Linked DNA regions of Oryctolagus cuniculus. The protein of the gene in region 1 interacts with the protein of each later gene in a biochemical or structural test. Links are inferred from orthologs where the notes say so. Each region holds a gene or a part of one and is shown in the gene's direction. Other genes may lie near its edges.

What was found.
Region 2: the proteins of NOXO1 (region 1) and NOXA1 form a complex in vitro, tested with the Homo sapiens proteins (2 studies listed by IntAct). The link is inferred for Oryctolagus cuniculus from reciprocal best matches to the Homo sapiens genes NOXO1 and NOXA1.
Region 3: the proteins of NOXO1 (region 1) and CYBA form a complex in vitro, tested with the Homo sapiens proteins (3 studies listed by IntAct). The link is inferred for Oryctolagus cuniculus from reciprocal best matches to the Homo sapiens genes NOXO1 and CYBA.

What each region holds. Positions count from the first base shown.
Region 1 is NC_091450.1:33,242,193-33,249,340, forward strand, and holds the start of NOXO1 (NADPH oxidase organizer 1), read left to right. Parts: upstream 1-3,427; 5' UTR 3,428-3,450; intron 3,451-3,610; coding exon of another isoform or gene 3,611-3,868; exon of another isoform or gene 3,869-3,920; intron 3,921-4,505; exon of another isoform or gene 4,506-4,715; intron 4,716-4,813; exon of another isoform or gene 4,814-5,302; intron 5,303-5,850; 5' UTR 5,851-6,048; coding exon 6,049-6,114; intron 6,115-6,216; coding exon 6,217-6,297; intron 6,298-6,428; coding exon 6,429-6,504; intron 6,505-6,597; coding exon 6,598-6,775; intron 6,776-6,902; coding exon 6,903-7,084; intron 7,085-7,148. Other genes in the region: GFER (FAD-linked sulfhydryl oxidase ALR), read right to left, coding at 2,178-2,340, 3,231-3,427, 3,611-3,868. UniProt on the Homo sapiens protein: Constitutively potentiates the superoxide-generating activity of NOX1 and NOX3 and is required for the biogenesis of otoconia/otolith, which are crystalline structures of the inner ear involved in the perception of gravity.
Region 2 is NC_091432.1:237,589,899-237,596,929, forward strand, and holds the start of NOXA1 (NADPH oxidase activator 1), read left to right. Parts: upstream 1-2,543; 5' UTR 2,544-2,628; coding exon 2,629-2,805; intron 2,806-3,986; coding exon 3,987-4,069; intron 4,070-4,565; coding exon 4,566-4,674; intron 4,675-5,553; coding exon 5,554-5,688; intron 5,689-6,425; coding exon 6,426-6,533; intron 6,534-7,031.
Region 3 is NC_091449.1:68,679,782-68,686,753, reverse strand, and holds the start of CYBA (cytochrome b-245 light chain), read left to right. Parts: upstream 1-2,484; 5' UTR 2,485-2,550; coding exon 2,551-2,608; intron 2,609-6,577; coding exon 6,578-6,647; intron 6,648-6,744; coding exon 6,745-6,819; intron 6,820-6,894; coding exon 6,895-6,972. Other genes in the region: MVD (diphosphomevalonate decarboxylase), read left to right, coding at 301-416, 1,299-1,407, 1,687-1,767. UniProt on the Homo sapiens protein: Subunit of NADPH oxidase complexes that is required for the NADPH oxidase activity that generates, in various cell types, superoxide from molecular oxygen utilizing NADPH as an electron donor.

The sequences.
Region 1 (7,148 bases):
GAGCTGGGCCAGGCTGAAGCCAGGAGCCAGGCGCTTCCATTAGTCTCCCATGTAGGTGCAGGGCCCAGTGCCTGTGCCACCTCCTGCTGCTTTCCCAGGCACATTAGCAGGGAGCTGGATCAGAAGTGGAGCAGGGGACTCGAACCAGAGCCCGGGGAGATGGCTTTACCCACTATGCCACAACGCTGGCCCCCGTTTCTTGAAAATATTTCTTTGACAGACCTTCATCGAGACAATCTCTCATACACTAGTTCACTCGCCAAGTGACCACACCAGGCAGGGACAGGCCAGGAACTCCAGCCGGGTCTCCACAGGGGTGATGGGGACGCAAGTACGTGAGCATCATCCCTCCCCAGATGCGTGAGCAGGAGGCTGGCCTGGCAGAGCAACCGGGACTCCAACCAGCCCTGACACTGTGCCGGTGTCACAGCAGTGGCTTAACCCATTGTGCCACAGTGCCAGCCCCCTCTGTCTTGTAGAGAGAAAAATAAATCAAGGGCCAGGTTAAGGTACAGCAGCCCCCTGCGATGCCATAATCCCATAACAGAACCAGTTTGAGTCCCAGCTACTCCATTTTTTTTTTTTTTTTTTTTAATTTATTTGAAAGGCAGAGACAGACAGAAAGAGAAGTCTTCCATGTGCTGGTTCACTCCCCAAATGGCCACAACAGCTGGAGCTAGGCCGACCCAAAGCCAGGTGAGGAGCTTCCGGGTCTCCCACACAGATGCAGGGGCCCGAGGACTTGGGCCATCCTCCACTGCTTCCCAGGCCACAGCAGAGAGCTGGATTGGAAGTCGAGCAGCCGGGACCCACTCTGCCACAGTGCCGGCCTCAGCTACTCACTTCTGATCCAGCTAACCTCCCGGGAAGCAGTGGATGATGGCTCACATGGGAGCCCAGATGGAGTTCCAGCCCCTGGCTTTGGCCTGCCCCAGGCTCAACTGTTGTGGTCATTTGGGGAATGAATCAGTAGATGGAAGATCACTGTCTCTCCCATGTGTCACTCTTTCAAATAAATAAACCTTAAACGAGGGGCCAGCATTGTGATAAGAGGGTTAAGCTACCACCTGAGATGCCGGCATCCCACATGAGTGCCGGTTCGAGTCCTGGCTGCTCTGCGTCTAACTCCCTGCTAATGGCCTGGGAAAGCAGCAGACGATGGCCCAAGTGCTTGGGCCCTGCATCCGTGTGGGAGACCCGGATGGAGCTCCAGGTTCCTGGCTTCAGCCTGGTCTAGCCCCCAGCTGTTACAGCCACCTGGAAAGTGAACCAGTGGATGGAAGATTTCTGTCTCTTCCTCTGTAACTCTGCATTTCAAATAAACAAATCATTAAACGCTAAATAAATAAGCATGTCTATGTTCCTTGCGTGCTGCTGGGGGCCACCTCAGCCACCTGGGTCACATCGCTCCACGCCACTCCTTGGCTCCAGACCTTGGCTGCCTGTTGCCGAAGCCGGGAGTGAAAGCCACATCTGCTGGGGTCTTGAACCCTGCACGCCCCGCTCCCTCCCCGTTAGAGCGGACCCTTCCGCTGCAGCCATCGGCCTCCCTGTCTACTGGAACACCCAGGCCACGGCAACACGGTGGCCGCCTGCACGGGCATCCTCTCCATGCCCCTGCGGGGTCAGACCCCAGACAGGAGGGCAGAGCTGAGCACAAAGCACACCAGAACCAGGTCCAAGTCTCTTGTCCAGCACTTTATTCTGGTCTCTGAGCCCGGCACCGTCCTGGCACACCTTCAGAGGGCCCGTGCCAGGCGGGGCGTGGCAGCACGCTGGGCGACCTCAGGAAAAACTCCGCCCCAGACTTCCCCATGGGGCTGGGCCCAACGGAGTACTCAGGCCCAGGCCTCACTCCCCAAGTGGCAACGGCACAGAGCCACTGGGGCCACGGCACTGCTCAGGGAGAGGCACAGCCGGGCCTCACGGGGCAGGAAGAGGGAGCCCCGGCCTCTCGCGGGCTGCCATCCTGGACGACGAGACGCTCCTTCCTGCCTCCCTCCCCTGCACACCCCTGCCCAGGCCCCCCGCTGAAGAGGAGGCCGGCTGCTGGAGTGCCCGCAGGGGGCAGCTTCCTTTCGGAAGGGCAGTGTCCTGGGACCACCCAACGAAGACGCGACAGCTGTGGCTCTGACGCACTTTAATGAGCGGCCCGCCCCTCTGCCGCGGCCGCCCCTCTAGTCGCAGGAGCCGTCCCTCCAGCCGTCGCGCCAGCGCTCGTCCACTTGTGAGCAGTCAAACTCGGGCTTGCCCAGCTTGCGGTTCACCTCGTTGTGCAGGCGGCACAGCCACTGGCTGAGGCACGCGCGGGTGCGGGTGTCCGGCTGGTTCCTGTGGATCCTGAGTAGGGGCGACACAAAAGGGGGAGGTGGCCCCGGCCCTGCCGGCGCCTCGCCGCGGGAGGAGAGAGAGGCACTGCAGCCAGCGGCACCGGGGGGCGTCCTCCTGCGTCCGGAGATGGGCGTTCCCCAGGGTGGACCCTGCAGAGCCCAGGGCAAGGCACCGGGGCACGAGGCAGCCACTTTACAGTCTCGTGAAATCAGGAACACTCACCTGTGCCCCTGGCCCCAGGCAGGTGCAGCCGGGGCGGAGCCGGCACAGAGCGGACCGCTCCTTAGCACCCCAGGGAGGCCTTGGTGAACCAGTCAAGCCAGGGCTGCCTGGTTCTAACTGTCGTGGCTGCCCCCACACGTCCGGCCCGGAGATGCCTAACACAGCTCCCGGGCATCTCAGTGAGGAAAAGCAGTGGGTTCCCAGGCTTTCAAACCAGCAATCGGGGGCCGGCAGGGCGCAAGGCCTAAGCCACGGCCTGCAACGCCAGCATCCCACGTGGGCGCTGGCCCAGTCCTGGGCGCTCCACTTCTGCTCCAGCTCCCTGGGAACAGCAGCGGAGAACGACCCAAGTGCCCGGGCCCCTGCACCCCCATGGGAGGCTGGGATGAAGTTCCTGGCTCCAGCTTGGCCCAGCGCGGGCAGCTGAAGCCATGAAGAGTGAACCAGCAAATGGAAGACCTGTCTCTCTCTGTTTGTTTGTTTCAAATAATAAAAAGAGCAATCAGCATCGACAGTCGGGCAAAGTGCAGCTCTCCCTAGCCTGCCCCCAGTCCTAGGGCAAAGGGCAGCCGGCCCTCCGGGGCGAGCCGCAGAGCCCGGGCGGCCATGGTCTCTGCCCCGCTCTGTGACATCAGCAGGCAGTGCGGGCCCCGGCTCCACGGGCGAGCGCGGCTCACCTCTTTCTGATGTCTTCCGCACACTCCTCACACGGATAAAACTTGGAGAACAAATGGATGAACTGGGCCATGTCCTGCTGCTGCTCCGGGGTGGGCAGGTCCGGGTAGTAGGCGGCCAGGGTGTGCAGCAGCGCCCAGCTGTGGCGGCCCAGCTCCTCGCGGTCCTGTGGACAATCCTCTCTAAGCTTCGTGTCCCGCTGCAGAAGTAGGCCGACTAAGGGTCAGTTAGCGCTCCCCGACACGGAGGCCCACCGGCCACCCCCTTCCTCCGCCCCAGCTCTGCACACAGGTCCTGCGGCGCTTCCGGCCCGCGCGCGGCTGAGCGGGGCGGCCGAGGCGCGCGGAAGCCAAGGGCGGGGAGGTCGGGCGGGCGCCGGCACCTTCTGCTGCGTTCGCATCCACGCCTTGAAGTCCACGCAGGCCCGGCAGGGCCGCCTCTGCGCGGCGTCCTCGGCGCGCTGCGGGGCCGGGGCCGGCGGCTGGCCTGCGGCGGCAGTGCCCGCGGCGTCCCTCCGCCCCGCGCCCCGGCCCCGCGCGTCCGTCGCCAGGTCGTCCATCACCTCGGGGCGCGCGCCGCCCGGCAGGAAGGAGAAGAGGCTCCCGCGGTACGAGCGCCCCGGCTCCCCGGGCGCCGCCATCTTGCCCGCGCAGCGCCTGCCGGGCCAGCTCGGCCGCCAGAGGGGCCTCCAGGTCGGCCTCCAGGCCAGCGCGCGCGCCGCCGCCAGCGCGCGGCCGCAGGAGCCGGGGGCGCGCGCCGCGGGCGCGGGGGGCGGGGCCGGGCCGGGGTCCGGGGCGGGGCCCGGCGCGGAGGCGGGGCCGGCGGCCGGGGTCCGGGCCCGGGGCGGGGCGGGGCCGGAGGCCGGGGCGCTGGCCGCGGCGGGGCTGGAGGGCCGGGCCTCGGCGGGGGCCGGGCCGGGGGCCCGGGCCGGCGCGGGGGCGGCGCCGGAGGCCCGGGCGCTGCGGGTGCCCCTGGGCCTCGCCCCCCGGCCCGCCGCGCTCGCCGGGCGCCGTCCGTGGCGGCGCTCGCGCTTCCTCCAGTAGAAGAGCAGCGTGTTGTGGAAGGTGCGCCGCGGCCGCGCGGCGGACTCGGGCTGAGGCTGGGTCGCAGTGCGGGTGGCGGCCCGCGACGCCCCCATCGCTCCGCTGGCACCTTCCTGCGTGCCCGCGGCCGGGCTCTGTGCCCGCAGCGGGGGGCGCGCCCGAGGCTGGCCCCCCGGGGCCTTGGCAACGGCGCGTGCGGCGCGGGGCCGGCGTGACCGCACAGAGCGTTCCCTGGGACCCCGGGGCCGCGGTCCCTCCCCGGCGACCGGCGCCCTGGCAACGGGGCGCCCGCCTCCCCGCGGTCCTTCCGTGGATGTCCGGGCCGCGCTCTGTTCCCGGCACCGGGCCGGACAAGAAGCAAAAGTGCCCCTGACCGTCACTCCGTGCGGTGTTCAGCACAGTGACAAACCAAAGCCACACCTGTCAGTGTTCCTACAAGCAGTGGTAGGGCCCACGCAGGGCCGGGTGACCGCAGGCAGAGAGGGAGGGTCTGGGAGCCCAGGGCCGGGGGACATGGACAGCACAGAACGGGGGCGGGGTGGGGACTAGGGGTGCCCTTCAGGGGCCGGCACAGCCTCCCTGACCTGATCCCATGTCTGTTTTGTGAAGCTACCCCTGGCGGTGACGTGGAGAGTGGCTTTCACAGGGGCCAGCAAACCCCCCAGGGATGGGGGTGGGTGACGGCTGGAGTTGAACTGTGAGGGAACAGAGTAGGGGTCCAGAGAGCGGAAGCTGGGTGGAGCCAGCGTGGGCGCAGGGGGCCTCCGGATCCTTCCCAGCCCCATCTGATTAAACCTGGCCTCCCTCCAGCTTCTCTCCTGGGGCCCCCTCGGCTGCCTGGGCTGGCACCGGCAAGGTCAGACAGCTTTAGAGAGCAACCGGTGGGACAGACACACAAAGGATCTTTGTTGAGGCAGGGCAGCTTCCTGGAGGCCTGGGGGGGTGGGGGGCAACCTTGACACGGCACCAGGAACAAGCACCTGGCACAAGGGTTAGATGTGGCTTGGACAAGGAAGCCGCAGCCTAGAGAGGTAGGGCCCCTGGGTGAGCCCCCTGTCCAGCCAGTGCAGGGCCTCCCTCCCCGACCCTGGCTGAAGGGGCAAGGGGTCACTCCTGATGCCAGAGGTGGGTTTGCCGGAAGCTGTGACAGACCATGAATTCCCAGTGACCACCCCCAAGTGCCACTGGCCACAGGGACTGTGGAGATGCAGCCTCCCCACTGTGGGTGAACCCCTGGGGTGAGCCCATGAGTATTCACTTAGCACAACCTTCCTGCTCCGACTTGGTGGCACAAAGTCCTTCCTTCGGCACCAGGATTAAGCCAGAGGGAGCACCAGAGCCCTGTTGCACTGAACGATTGGTTCTGGACGGCAATTGCCGAGTCCAGCCAGTGAGTTCACAGCCGGAGCTGTTGGCACACCCTGGGGAGGGTTACCCAGGGTGTGTGAGCCCAGATAGGTGGGCCTCAGACAGCCCTTCCTTCTCCTCCCCCTGCCCAAGGCCAGACTCGGGAGGGCCCTGGGCGGGTGCAGTCCCAGCCTGGCCCTTCCAGGTGGGCGACTCATCCTCTCTCCACCAGCTCTGCCTCTGGCCCCTGGCCCTGCGCAGCCGGGCTCCTGCAGGTCGCGGAAGAAGGCCCAGGGGCGGGGCGGCTTCCCGGGGACTTGGCTTGGGGCGTCCGCGGGGAATTCCACTCGGCCAGTCTTCCGGCTGGCAGCGCAGAAGCCTCAGCCGCTGCCTGCCTGCCCCAGCATCCTGAGTCGTGCCGGCCACGGGCATGGCAGTCCCCCGGCACCCGGTGTCAGTGCGCGCAGCAGCCTTGGTGCAGATGGAGCGGCTCCAGGTATGACCCGCCCCTACCAGCCCGAGGGCTTTGTAAGTGGATGCCCCTGGCCCGGGCCCCAGGCACACCCAACCTCCCCCTACCACCCCCCACCCCCCGTAGACGTTTGCCTTCTCCGTGCGCTGGTCAGATGGCAGCGACACTTTGGTGCGCAGGAGCTGGGATGAATTCAGGCGGCTCCAGGTGAGCGACCCTGATGGGGTCTCCCTCCCTCACCCTCCACCTGGATTTCCCGTCCCTGTCACCCTGGGGAGGGGTCCACGCCCTGCCTGGAGGCCGGGCAGCTGGACAGACACCCCGCTTCTCGTCCTCAGAAGACCCTCAGGGAGACCTTCCCGGTGGAGGCGGGCCTGCTTCGGAAGTGCGACCGTGTTCTCCCCAAGCTTCCTGGTCAGGCCTGGGGTCCTGGGTGGGGCGGGGAAAGGCTTTTGGGCCAGGAAGACCTGGGGTGGGCCCCACAGTGCATCCTCTTGGTGCCTGCAGATGCACCGCTGTTAGCAAGAGGGGGACGCACTGGCCGCGGGCTGGCGCGCCTCCGGCTGCTGGAGACCTACACCCGGACGCTGCTGGCGGCCGCAGAGCGGGTGTCACAGAGCCCAGCGCTCACCGGCTTCTTTGCGCCACAACCCCTGGACCTGGAGCCCTCGTTGCCGCCTGGCAGGTGCTGGACCCAACTCCCTGAGGCCTACGGACGCTGGGGGAGGCTTAGTGGAGGAAGAGGAGCCACCGGTGGGCTTGTGGGCGTGGCGGGCCCGTCCCCACCCCCTCACCGGCTCCCTCCTTGCCAGCCTGGTGATCCTGCCGGCCCCCGAGGAGCCCAGGCCGCGTCCCGCAGGCAGCCTTGCCATCCACAGCCTGGAGGTTCAGCGGCTGCACTGCCTGCAGCCCTTCCACACCCAGGACACCCGGGGCAGGCCCTTCCAGGCGCGGGCCCAGGACAGCCTGGACGTGCTGCTGCGACACCCCTCAGGTAGTGGCCCCAGCAGTCAGGGCGCTGGCCTTGCTGCCCTGGACCCCGGTGGGCCGAGATCTGA
Region 2 (7,031 bases), on another chromosome or scaffold:
CCCCCCAGCCCCATGAGCCCCACTTGAGGGCATCTCACAGCCCTGCCCAGTTCACAAGGGCCCGCAGGCACCGCCCGTGACACAGAACAGGCCACGGCTGGCTGGGCGACGCTGGCTTCCAAGCCCTGGAGGCCCCAGGTCCCCATGGGAAGGCCCCCGACACCCAGAGCCCGCCCCTCCTGCCTTCCGTGCCCTCTGCCCCCAGCCCTCCCAGTACGGACGCAGACAGGACAAGCCGAGCAGGATGTCTGCCCATCGATTTTCCTGTTGCCAATTGCACCTGGAGATGACACGCTTGGAGGATGCTTGGTGAATAACACACATTACTCAAATTAGCACATTTGTCTTGCCACTGTGCCTGGTAGGAAAGGCGAAATCACACTGGGCTCCCTCGAGGCACAGCGGGGCGCCGGGTGCAGGGGCCGCAGCCCGGCCTCAGGCCGTGTGCCCCACAAGCCGGCACTCACCCCGCCAGTCTCACTGCAGGTGTAGCAGGGTGGGCACCCCGGCGACTTCTCCAGTGACCCTGGGCCAGGGGGCGCCCAGGCCCCTCCCGGCACTGCCCGCCTGGCTTTCAGCCTGCACGCGATACTGCAGCAGGCACTGCACTGTTTTTTATGGCTTTATTGGGATCATTCAAAACATAAAATCTACCTCGTACACGAGTCCGAGTTCCAGTCGGACAGACAAGCAGCCATCACATGTTGAAGGATAACTGGGCCAGGCTGAAGCCAGGAGCTTCTTCTGGGTCCCCCGTGTGGGTGCTGGGCCCCAGCACCTGGGCCGTCTTCGGCCGCCCCCGGCCACCCCCCGGGCGCACGAGGTAGCCGCGCTGGCTCCAGCCCTGGCTCCAGCTCCTCTTTGCGTCCTGCTTCCCTGTGAGCGCCATCACCGGGCCGGGAGCCGCGCCAGACCCCATGGCAAAGGAATGGACCAGGACCAGGCTGTGGCGGACCCTTCCTGGCACCGTGCCGGGTGGCCCAGGCCGGGTGGGTCACCCACAGACAGGCTAGCGCCACCAGCCCCATGGTACCTGTTCTTACGAAGGGCCTCCGACTCCTACAGCAGAGTGTAGAAATGGAAGAACCATAAACACTCCTGAAAACCATGCCCTGGGGCCGGCTCTGTGGCGCAGCAGGTTGCAAGGACCGGATGGAGCTCCTGGCTCCTGGCTGTGGCCTGGCCCCGCCCTGCCTGCTGTGGCCATTTGGGCGGTGAAAGCGCAGATGGAAGGTCTCTTTTTTTCCTCCAGGTCTCCCACGCGGGTGCAGGGCACAAGCACTCGGCCATCCTCCGCTGCCTTCCCAGGCCACAGCAGAGAGCTGGACCGGAAGTGGAGCAGCCGGGACTGGAACCAGTGCCCATAGGAGATGCCAGCACCGGCGCCCCGCCACACCGCCAGAGGGAGCACGGGCAGCCCCGGGCCCTGGGTGGACAGGACCAGCTGTGGGGGGCGGCGGGAGCAGACGTGGGGAACCCGTGGCCGGGAGCAGGACTGGGGGGGTCTGTGGGGGGGACATAGGGCTGGGGGGGCTGGGTTATCTCACTGACTGCACAGCAGCTCTGCAGGGCTGGCTCTCATCGCCTGTGAGCTGTCGCCTGGCAACGACTGACGGGCTGACTGACGGCGATGACTGCCAGACTGATGGCTGACTGATGGCTGACGGGCTGACTGATGGCTGACAGGCTGACGGCTGGCTGACGGCTGTCTGGTGGCTGGCTGACGGCTGACAGGCTGACGGATGAAGCCACCAGCTTTGCAAGCTCGCATCCTCAGGCCCACAGCCCGCAGCGCAGGCCCAGTCCCCGCCCAGCTTCCCGCGGGCGCCTGCGGGGGGGGGGGCAGGTGCGGCGGGGGCTCCCGCGGCCCAACCCGGGCTGTCGCGAGCCACGAGGGCGCGCGCTCTCCGACTCTGGCGGCAGTAACAGTAATTTTCAAGTATTCCTGCAGGGCGCGGCCCCGCGGTGCCCCGTCCCCGGCCTCTCCTCGTCCTCAGCGGGAAATCGCCAGCCCGCCTCGAGCGCGGCTCGGAGGACCCGCCGTGGCAGAGCGCGGCGACCGGGACGCAGCCGCCCTGAGGCCCGGTGTCCCGCGCGGGGCCCGCACGGCGGGCTCGGGGGAAGCCGCTGGGCTCGCTGTCCACCGCGGAGGGCGCCCGCGCCTCGGCCTCGGGGTCCAGCCGCCCCGGAACCGCCCCTGAGGGAGCCGCGCGCCGTCCACTCTAAGGCTGGAACCTCGGCCAAAGGGCAGCCGCGGGTCCGCACGCCTTTTCCCCGCGCACAGACGCCCACGAGAACGCGCCGCGCCGCGGGAGCGCGTGGAGCTCCGTCAGGGGCGGGCGGGCCTGGGGGTGTGTCCAGAGCCGAGGCGGGCGGGGCCTGCGGCGTTGGGCGGGGCCGGCTGGGGCGGAGTGGGCGGGGCTGCCTGGGGCCGGGCCGTGGTCAGGCTCGGGACCGGACGCTGCCTGCCAGCAGGGGGCGACTGCACAGGCGAGGCCCGCGCCCCCACAGGCCCCCGGCCGTCTGCCGGCCTTGCTGGGCCGCCGGGCCCCTCCCTCGGTCGTGCCGCGGTCACGCCCTGCGCGCCCGGGCTGGAGCACCTACCTGAGCCGCAGGTGCAGTGTCGCCATGTCCTCGCTCGGGGACCAGGTGCGCACCTGGCACCGGGGCGTGCAAGCCGTGGCGCGCGGGGACTGGCCCGGCGCCTTGCGCCTCTTCTCGGAGGTCCCAGGGCCTGCCGCCAGGATGAGCTTCAACGTGGGCTGCGTGCACCTGCTGGCCGGGGACCCCGAGGCTGCGCTGCGGGTGAGCCGGGTCATGGGCGCCCGGGGCTGCTGGCAGAGACCCCGTCCCTGGGGCAGTCTCACGGGGGCGTGGGAGAGGGACGCGAAGCCCTTCTTCCCGGTAGATCCTCTGCAGGCGTCTTCCTGGGGGTGGGGGGCGCCTGAGGCAGGCGGGGGCTGCGCTGAGGGCGGCTGAGGTGTGGGCGTGCTCCCTCCTCGGGTCAGGTGGCCGCGGGCAGACGGGGCAAGAGCTTGGCAGAGGCCGTGATGGGCAGTCGAAGTCCCCCCCCCCCCCCCCGCCAGCACACCTGCCTCTCCAACAGAGCGGGAGCTCAGCCTCGGTGGGGGCGGGGGTGGCAGCCACAGCTGCCCGTGCCCTTCCAGATGTGTCTTGTCCATCACCCCGTGCGTGGACACAGTGGTGACCAAAGCTGGGGCGCCCTGCCGGTGACTCAGGCCCCACTGTCCCCGGGCGGTCACCTGCAGGGGAGGAGGGTTCCAGCCACACGTTCCCCGCACCCACATCCTGCAAATGCCCCGGGGAAACCCGGGCCCGGCCCAGCAGGGACCCCTCTGTCACCCCTTCATCCTCCAGCTGCCCACCCACAAGTCCCACTGACGTGGGCTATCCCGGGGGCAGCAGGCATCCAGGGTGAGTCACCACTTCCCGCAGCCGGGCTCTACCTGGGCCCTGTCGGTTCTCGTCTGCCCTCGTAAAGTTGACTGACAGCCTGTCGTTAGAAACAGGGAAACTGTGAGAAGCGGGTGGCGGCTGTGTGACCCTTGCGTCCCATGCCCTGTGACGCTGGGCGCGGCAGGGGAGCCATGGGCTCAGCCAGCTCTGCTAGAGCGAGACCCCAGCCCCTCCCCCAGCCATGGTCCATATTTAACTGGTGGCTGCTGTCCCCTGGGGGAGCGCAGGCCGTTGCCTGAGATGCGGTGCCCCCTCGGTCCCATGGTGCCCGTGCAGCTGAGTGTGGGCTGTCGAGGGCCCTGGAGGAAGCCCCTTCCAGCTCCTCTCTCCTCGAGGCTTTGGCACCACCTTGGGGCTCCACACTGGGCAGCCGGGGTGTGGCCACAGGGGACCAGCTGTGAAGGCCCCCGGGCAGGTGCAGACGGCTCATGGCCCTCCTGGATTTCTGGGCATGGCTGTGGCATCTGAGACCAGGTTCCAGGCCTCAGCCACGCGCATTCTGTCACCAGGCTTTCGATCAAGCGGTGACCAAGGACGCCTGCCTGGCCGTTGGCTTCCTGCAGCGAGGCGTGGCCAGTTTCCAGCTGAAGAGGTAAGCACAGGGGTCTGGCCCCCCGCCTCTGCTGGTGGCGTCTCTGCCCTCGGGCCTTGCCTCGTCTGCGTCCGCAGGGATGGCGAGGCGGTGCCCGTCTTGTGGGTGTGGCTGGGGCAGGGCTGGAGGAGTGGCCGGTCCTGGAGGAAGCATGTGGGCCCGGGCAGGCCCTGGGGCATCCCCATCTGCTGCCCGGGGCAGGGGGCGGGGCCAGGGTGAGAGGAAGCTCGGAGTTCGGAGGGTGGCGGTTCCAGGAGGCGGAGTCGGGGTGCAGACCGGGCCCCAGGGTGGGAGCCGGGCAGGAACCCGGGACCACACATCCCGCTGCCCGTTCGCGTCACAACCCTCGACCCACTTCACCCCACTGGAGTGTCCACTGAGTGCTGGGGCCCAGGTGACCACGGCCACCCTCCAGCAGGGGCCCAGAGCGGGGGTGGGAGCCCCTGACCCAGCTCACCCTCCCCGGGGACTGCTGAGGGCACACTGCCGCCCGCAGGTTCCAGGAGGCCCTGTCCGACTTCCGGCTGGCCCTGGTGCAGCTCAGGGGCAACCCTACCATTGACTACACGCAGCTGGGCCTGCGGTTCAGGCTGCAGGCCTGGGAGGTGAGCAGGCCTGGGAGGCGTGCTGGCCTGGGAGGTGAGCAGGCCTGGGAGGTACACTGGCCTGGGAGGTGAGCAGGCCTGGGAGGTACACTGGCCTGGGAGGCGGGCTGGCCTGGGAGGTGCGCTGGCCCTGGGCTCGCGGGCTCGTGGCCGCCGCTGTGTGGTGGGGGAAGGTGCTCTGAGGGCCCCCCTGGCCTGAGGCGGGCGCTGCACCCCAGGAGGTGCAGGCAGCAGGCAGGTGCGACCAGGACTGGGTCTGCGGGTAAAGGGCAGGGCCGGGCCAGGGAGCAGGGAGGGGAGGGTGGGGCGGGGCTCCGGGCCCAGCTGCTTCCCGGAACAGCGTGGCACTGAGGGAGGGGACTTGGGAGGACCCTCACCCTCCGGGGAACTCCTGCATTGCAGCCTCTTGGAAAGACAAGGCAAAGCCTGGGGGGTTCTGGAAGCCAGGGCCAGTGCCCACCCAGGGGTGCCCAGAGGTCAGGGTGAGGGCGGCTTGGCCGAGGCCCCCCAGAGCCCTGCTGCAGGTCCCCAGAGGACGCTGGCCACCAAATGGCTGTGGGAGGCCTGCCTGTCACCAGGGCCCCAGTGACCCCGGCTCAGTCCAGCTTGGCCATGAAACTCCCTCCCTGTAGGGCCCAGGGACACACGACCCCTGGGGGCAGGGGCATGGCCATGGGCCAGCTGGTGACATGGCCAGGGGATGTGCCACAGAGTGGCCTCTGGCTCAGCAGGAGAGCGCCCGGGGGGTCCTCCCAGCATGCCCCAGCTGCTCTCAGTTGATCTGCGCCCACAGCACCCATGGGAGCTGGACACCCAGAGCTGCCCTCGTGACAGCAGCTGTGGGCCCTGGTCCCTGACGTCCGCGGACCTCACTCCCAGGTGCTCTACAATGTGGCGGCCGCTCAGAGCCAGCTGGGCCTCTGGAGTGAGGCTGCCAGCAGCCTAAGGGAGGCCGTGTCCAAGTGGCCAGAGGGTGCCCACAGCGGTCTGGACACTGCCTTGGACCAGGTGCAGGTGAGGAGTGTCGGGGAGGGGACGGAGAGGGGAGGGGGCAAGGGAGGAGGGCATGCAGGGGAGAGGAAGAGGGGTGGGTGTGGTGTGCAGGGAAGGGGGCAGGAGGAGGGCAGGTGTGGTGTGCAGGGGAGGGGACAGGAGGAGGGCAGGTGTGTGCAGGGGAGGAGGAGGGACAGGTGTGGTGTGCAGGGTGGGGGAGGAGGGGCAGGTATGGCATGCAGGGGAGGGGAGGAGGAGGGCAGGTGTGGTGTGCAGGGGAGGGCAGGAGGGGCAGGTATGGCATGCAGGGGAGAGGAGGAGGAGGGCAGGTGTGGTGTGCAGGGGAGGGCAGGAGGGACAGGTGTGGTGTGCAGGGGAGGGGACAGGAGGAGGGGCAGGTGTAGCGTGCAGGGGAGGGGAGGAGGGCAGGTGTGATGTGCAGGGGAGAGGAGGAGGAGGGCAGGTGTGGTGTGCAGGGGAGGGGAGGAGGAGGGCAGGTGTGGTGTGCAGGGGAGGGGAGGAGGAGGGCAGGTGTGGTGTGCAGGGGAGGGGAGGAGGGCAGATGTGTGCAGGGGAGGGCAGGAGGGGCAGGTATGGCATGCAGGGGAGGGGAGGAGGAGGGCAGGTGTGGCGTGCAGGGGAGGGGAGGAGGGCAGGTGAGGAGTGAGAAGGAGGGGAAGGGGAGGAGACAGGATGAGGGGAGGGTGCAGGGGAGGAGGGCAGGTGTGGCCTGCGTCAGCTCCACACCCCCCTCGCAGAAGCAGACGCCCCTGCAGCCGAGGCAGGTCCCCAGGGGTGAGGTCTTCCGGCCCCACAGGCGGCACCTGGAGCACCTGGAGCCCGTGGACTTCCTGGGCAAGGCCAAGGTACAGGGGGCAGGCGGCCCTCACGGCACCCGGCCGTCCTCACACCTGCCCCGGGACACACGTGGGCACCCGGCCGTCCTCACACCTGCCCCGGGACACACGTGGACACATGGCCGTCCTCACACCTGCCCCGGGACACACGTGGGCACCTGGCCGTCCTCACACCTGCCCCGGGACACACGTGGGCACCTGGCCGTCCTCACACCTGCCCCGGGACACATGTGGGCACCCGGCCGTCCTCACACCTGCCCTGGGACACATGTGGACATCTGGCCATCTTCATACCTGCCCTGGGACACACGTGGGTACCTAGCTGTCCCCACGCCTGCCCCCAGGACACACGTGGGCACCTGGCTGTTCTTTTACCTGTTCCCAGGGGTTGAGGGCGGGCCCCAAATGTTGGCTGTGAACCTGGAGGGGCCCCTCCTTGCCTCGGCCTGGCCGCGCTCTCCTGGGCCCTGGTGTCTCCCCGTGTCCCCGCCGCACACAGGGAGGTCC
Region 3 (6,972 bases), on another chromosome or scaffold:
CGGGAGGGGCGTGGCCGCGGCAGACCCAGGTGTGGGGGGGCGTGGCCGCGGCAGACCCAGGTGCCGGGAGGGGCGTGGCCGCGGCAGACCCAGGTGTCGGAGGGGCGTGGCCGCGGCAGACCCAGGTGCGGGGGGCGTGGCTGCGGCAGACCCAGGTGCGGGGGGGCGTGGCCGCGGCGGACCCAGGTGCGGGGGGCGTGGCTGCGGCGACCCTTCGGGCCCACCAGAGGCCCTCCTCAGGGAGAGCAGGCTGAGCCCTGCGGGGCCGTGTGAGTAACCCGGTGACCCCGTGGCTCGCAGGTGGCGTACACGTTTGATGCTGGCCCCAACGCCGTGGTCTTCACACTGGAGGACACCGTGGCCGAGTTTGTGGCTGCCGTGAGGCACAGCTTCCCCCCCGAGTCAAATGGCGACAAGTGAGTGGACCCCAGTCCCATCCTGTGGGGGACAGGGTCCGTGCGGCCCCCATCCTGGGCCCCCGCGGCCACAGCCCCATGCCATCGGGGACGGGTCCGTGCGGCCCCCATCCTGCGCCCCCGCGGCCACAGCCCCATGCCATCGGGGACGGGGTCCGTGTGGCTCCAGCCCCATCCCATCGGGGACGGGGTCCGTGCGGCTCCAGCCCCATGCTGTGGGGAACAGGGTCCATGCAGTCCCCACCGCCCCAGCCTCATCCCCATGCTACTGGGGGACAGGGCCCGTGCGGCCCCGCCCTAGGCCCCCGCCGCCCCGGCCCCATGTGCCCGACCCCGTGCTTCCTCGTGTTAGGACACGCGCCAGCAATCAATCGGAGGGCGTGGCAGAGCCCTGGCGCTGGGACCACCACCTGTGCTGTGTGTGAGCGCACGCCGGGGGCTGGGGAAGGCCCAGGTGTGTGGGGGCCGAGAACGCCACCCGGCCCGGCCGGCCGGGACAGCCGCGGGCCGCACCAGACACCCCCCGTGGAAGCTCCGCCCACTCGCACCTGCTCACCCGTGCTGCCCCGAGGGGCCAGGAGCGAGCCAGAGCCTCCTGGTTTCTGAGACCCTCCCCTAGGGGACCCTGGCCAGGCCCTGGCGAGCTCTGCCTTGTGTCTTGGTAGAGTGGGCCGAGGGCTGACCGTGTCAGCCACGGAGGGGCCGTGGGGCTCCCATCCCCATCCCGGCCGCTGTGCCTCCAAGGACTTGCCTGAATGGATGCTGCCTGTGTGTGTGGCTGCACACGCGTGTGTTCCTGCGCTGCCCTGTGTAGACCTGCACACGCGTATGTTCCTGCGCTGCCGTGTGGCCGCACACGCGTGTGCCCGCCTTGTCTCCCAGGTTCGTGAAGGGCCTGCAGGTGGCGCCTGCACTTCTCCCAGACGACCTCAAGGCGGCGCTGGCCCTGGAGCCCACGCCCGGTGGCATCAAGTACATCATCTCCACCCAGGTGAGGCCCGGCCCTCTGCGTGACGTCATTGGGTGGGGGTGGGACTGAGTGGGCGGGGCTGCGGCGGGGTCCACCCCGAGCCTGCCCAGACTGGCCAGTGCCACGCCCCCTGCTCAGGGCTGCGAGACCCGTGCGCAGTGCTGACCCGAGCCAGGCGCCCGGCAGCGGGCAGCGGGCAGCGGGCAGCGGGGGCTCGGCTCCTGGTCGACTCGGGAGGTGGGGCCTGCACCTGGTCCCCTGCCTGCGGCCTCCGACCTCCGCCCTCCCTCCCTCCCTCAGGTGGGGCCGGGGCCTCAGGTCCTGCGGGACCCCGACGCGCACCTCCTGGGCTCCGACGGCCTGCCGAGGCCCGCTGCGTGACCGGACCCCCCTAGCGTGACGGGCGCGTCAGCGGCCCCCTGCAGCTGCGTGGCGTCTGGGCGGAGGGGCCGGGGCTGCCCCTCAAGCCGCAGCACCGCTCGTGCTGGGCCTGCAGCCCGGCCCTGGACGCTGGCCCGGTGCAGGTGGACTGGCCCTTCGCCAGCCGGCGGGGCTGCGGGCGGGGCGTGTGTCAGGTGGAGCTGTGGTGACCGCCCCGGAATAAAGCCAGCATCGCTGACCGCCTGCCCCGCACGCCTTCCCGACAGCCCCAGCAGGCCTGCCCCGTGGACAGCCCTCGGCTTGGAGGGCGATGAGGGTCCCGCCCAGTGCTCAGGGCGGGGGTGGGGTGGTGTCCGTCAGGGCGGGGTCTACCTGCTCGGCCGCCCGCCTCACCCAGGGCTGTGGCCCCTGCTGCTGGGCGTGTCCAGGGCCAGGGGCACATCCGCCTCCCCAGGGAGGGAGCCCGGCAGCCCAGGGCGGGGAGGAAGCGGTGCTGGGACCCCTGGTCCCCGCCGTGTGGGGGCGCTGCCCTGTCCTGGGGCGGCACAGGCCGGCTCCCTGGGAGCCCCGGGCCACACGCGGGATGGGCAGAGGAGCTGGGGGCAGGGGCACAGCTGGGGGGGGGCCTGGGGCAGGGAGCCGTCCGCAGGCGGCCCAGCTGCGGCCCGGGAGGTCGGCCCGGGGGGCGGGGCGGGGGCGGGGCGGAGGGCGGGGCGGGGCCGACCCGGCGGCGGCGGGCGGCGGCGGCGGCGGCGCGGGCCTCAGTGAGCCTTGGCGACCGCCATGGGGCAGATCGAGTGGGCCATGTGGGCTAACGAGCAGGCGCTGGCGTCCGGCCTGAGTGAGTGCGAGCCCGGCCGCTGGGCCCGGGCCGAGATCCTGATGGTGTGGGCGGGCGGAGATCGTGGGGTGGGGCGGGGGTCGCTGCGGCCCGGGAGCAGGGGGAGCACGGCGCCCCCGCCCCCGCCCCGCGGAGGAGGAAGCTGCCTGCGGAAGTGTTGCTGCGCCCGGTGGTTCCGGGAGCCGCCGCCCCGCCTGGCTGGGAAACTCCCAGGGACGACGATGCGGGGTCACGGGGGAGGGTCCCGAGGCGGAGCCGGGCAGGGGTCCCCAGCGGCACGACCCCTGCACCGGGTGCCCGGCAGGGTCAGCGGGGTTAGGGCTAGGCGACGGTGACCCGCCCAGAGCGCCGTGCTGCCCGGTTTGCTTTACCAGGGGCCTGGGGCCGGGTACTGGGAGAGCTCCCAACCCGTGCAGGCCCAGCCCCCAGGAACCGCCCAGCTCAGCTGCGACCCGACCTGACCCTCGGGAGGGAGCATGTGGGGGGGTGGGAAGGGTCCCAGCTCAGGGCCATGCCCTGTGCACTGGGGACAGTGAGCTTGGAGGGCCACACCCTGAACAGGCTGTGGGGCAGGCGCCCACGGCCTCCTGTTAATCCCCATGGCTGAGAACATGGCAGGTCAGTGTAGGGAGGCCCCACGGGACCCTCACCCACTGCCCCTGCTCTGTGCCAGACCCCCTGTTCCCTCCCAGGACGCCCCCAGGAGGCAGACAGCGGGGGGGGGGGGGCTTGGTTCCGATGCCTGTTAGAGGAGCAGCGACCACAGGCGCCCACTCCCATCCAGGCCAGAGAGGTCACGAGGGGTCAGCGGGACACCTGCCGGCACGTCTCCCAGGCCTCCTGCCCTGCTCCTCCTGGGGCTGTCCGGGCCGTCGGCAGCCCGCACGGGGACGACCACCAGGGACGGAGCAGCTCTGGCCGCGCCAGCCCCTGCCTCCCTCCTCACCAGCGGCACGGGGACCCCGCCAGGAAACCGCTTCCTCTGCCCACGTCCCCTGCTCCCAGGCCCCACTGCTGTCCCCTGTGCCCCACTCTGCGCCAGCCCACAGCCTCGGCGCTGGCTTTAGTCTCCCCACGCGAGACCACGAGCCCCCGCCAGCCCACGGCGGTGCCTCCGGTCACTGCTGGAACTGGGTTAGCTCAGGGCTGCAGGTGCAGCCAGCGGCTCTGCCCCGTGGCGGATAGACAGGAGGCCCCGAAAGGGGACGTTCCGCCCTGGAGATGAGTCAGCCACACCGGGCGACTGGGTGACCGCATGGGGAAGCTGCCCTCCTCCCCAGCACACGCTCCAATGCGCACCAAGAAAGTTAATATGTAGCCGAGCTCGGACCCGGCTCAGGAAGTCTGCACCAACAAAAGCGGGGAGACCTGGGGGGAGAACGCAGCCCGGGCCTGGGGCTGCCCTCGGGGACGGGCGCTTAGGCAGCGGGCGTCCAGGGCCTCAGCCGAGGCCGGGCTTCGGGCAGGATGCTGGAGTCAGACCAGGAGGGCAGCTCGGGGGTCTCCGGCCAGCACAGACCCCAGCCCTCGGCCACGCCACGTGTGGGCCTGAGGACCGGTGAGCACCGCCCCGACAGGCCTCACAGAGGACTCGGCAGGGCACAGCCGGCCCACGCCATGCACAGGGCCGCACGCGTGTGCAGGGGCGGAGCGTGTTTAAGACACCTCCAGAGCGGAGGGACGTGGGGGTGGGGGGTCTGCCTGGCCACAGGTGCAGTGAAGGAGAGCCCTTGGCGGGTAGCCCGGCCGCTCCACTTCCCACCCAGCTCCCTGCTGTGGCCTGGAAAGCAGCCGAAGGCGGCCCCAGAGGCCCGGCCCCTGCACCCGTGTGGGAGACCCGCAAGAAGCTCCTGGCTTGATCTGGCCCAGCCCTGGCCATGGCGGGCATCTGGGGAGTGAACCAGCAGACAGAAGACCTCTTTCTTCCAAATAAAATGAAAATAAATTTTTCAAAACCAAAAGCAACAAAGCGAGGAAAACGCAGTGGATGAGCTGAGCTGGGAGCCTCACAGCGTGGACGCGGGCACAGCGCAGGCACCGCCACACGCGTGGCGACAGCTCCAGGCACACGGCCGAGGGTGACAAGGATGAGCCGGCGTCCTCCGCGTGGACACGCGGGCCGCAGGCCACGGCAGCACATCCGGAACACTCGGTGGCCAGTGAGCTTCCCAGCACCGCAGCAGGCGCCCACACACAGCCAAGGCCGCTCCCGAGTGCAGGACCCACGGGCCACGTGGCCACCACACCCACTGCCCGCACAGGAGGCCACGCCCCAGCCAGGCGGAAGGGGACCCCAGGGAAGCGGGGGTTGTGGGGAGGAAGAGGCTGTTGGCTGGGGGCGGGGTGGTGGAGGTGGACACCGAGGTCGGCTCCGGAGGGGCTGTGACATCGCGGGGTCGTGTCGCCTGACGGGTGGGCAGGCAGCGGGGCAACGGACACTCTGGCCCCTAGAGGGTCGGCCAGGTGAGCCCAGGGGCAGGCACGCTGCTCGCAGCACCGGTCTCAACGTGGGAGACCCCACTGGGCCCCAGCTGCCTGGACAGCGGGAAGGACACTCGCGGGACGGAGCCAGCAGTGAGCGCCAGGGGCCGATCGCGTGCGCACAGCGGGCACTGCCGCTCTGGCCGGGGCTGCGGGGAGCTCCAGGTGCCGAGCGCCGGCTTCTGTCTGATGAGGACAGCACCAAAGCAGAACCAGGAATGGCCACACGGAGCGAGGACAGGGCCAGGACGCCGACGCTGTCAGAGAATGAGGTCACCGAGCACGAACGTGCCACTCGCCGCCTCCGCCCGGCTGCGCCAGCCCCGTGCCAGCGGCGTCCAGATGTGGAGATGGACACGGAGCATCGAGGGTGCCAGAACGAGCTGCCGGGGCGAGGGGCACCCCGGCTCCACGCAGCCAGAGGAGCAGACATGGTCCAGGGCCCCAGAGCACTGAGAGGACAGGGTGACTTTAAAAAGAAATTTAGGCACCGGCGCTGTGGCTCAGCGGGGGAAGCCCCAGCCTGCAGCTCCTGCTCCCATGTGGGCGCTGGTTCGAGACTCGGCTGCCCCACTTCTGATCCAGCTCCCTGCTACTCCTGGGAAGGCAGCGGAGGACGGACCAAGTGCTTGGGCCCCTGCACCCATGTGGGAGACTCGGATCAAGCTGCTGGTTCTGGATCAGCGCAGCTCCGGCCGCTGGCAGCCATGTGGGGAGTGAACGGGCGATGGCAGCTCGCTCTGTCCCTGCCTTTCAGATAAATAAATCTTAAAAATTATTTCAAAGGCAGAGTGACAGAGAGCTCTCCCATCCCCAGCTCACTGCCCCGCAGCCTGAGCAGCCAGGGCTGGGCCAGGCTGAAGAACCCAGCCTCCATCCGGTCTCCCCGTGGGCACAGGGGCCGAGCCCCGGGCCGGCTTTCCCAGGCCGTGAGCAGGAGGCTGGATCAGAAGCGGGGCCGCCGAGTGCCGACACGGGGTGCACACACGTGTGCCGTGGTCACGCTGACATTCACGGGTCGTGCTCATGTTCACGGATGCCTGCGGGAGTTCTGGGAGTTCTGGGAGGGGGCGGTGACGGCCGCGCGGCCTCAGTGCCCTCACAGGAGCCACCACGGATGCCGTGTCACGTGCACCTCAGCTCCACGCATCTGTGCCGTGAGTCCCGGCGGGAGGCGTGCACACGTGTGCTGCTCCCAGGAGACCCCGCAGAGCCACCCGAGCCGGGAGCGAGCGAGGGGTTGGAGCAGCTGACCCCCACCCAGGATCCAGGGCAGGGACCACCAGCATGGGACAAAGCGGAAACCCGGAGGGCATCCGGGATCCGCGCGACCTCTAAGCCCAGGGCAGCGAGCCAGGCAGAGCAGGGCCGGGGTCCACCCGGGGCCTGCGGCCTGGGCTCCAGGGAGGCGCCCACCGCGGGTGCAGGAGGGCAGGGGCGCGACGGGCCGCGGTGGGAGCCTCCTAACCCTCCCCCCCAATCCCGCAGTCCTCGTCGCGGGAGGCATCGTGGCCACGGCAGGGCGCTTCACCCAGTGGTACTTCGGGACCTACGCCATGTATCCTTGTGCGGACCGCGCGGTGGGGGGCGGGGCAGGGGTCAGAGGCCACGCCCGCCTCCTGCCTGGCACCCGCAGCTCCTTAACGGTGACCCAGCGCGGCGGGGGTGCTGGTCTGCCTGCTGGAGTACCCGCGGGGCAGCAGGGCCAAGGGCTCCACCCTGGAGCGATGGTGAGTGGGCGGGGCGGGGCGGGGGCGGCTCCCCTGCGGGGGCGGGGCGCGTCCTGAGCCGGTGTCCACCCGCAGTGGACAGCGCTACCTGACGGCCGTGCTGAAGCTCCTGGGGCCGCTCAGCAGGAGCTACTACTTCCGCGCCGCGCTGCA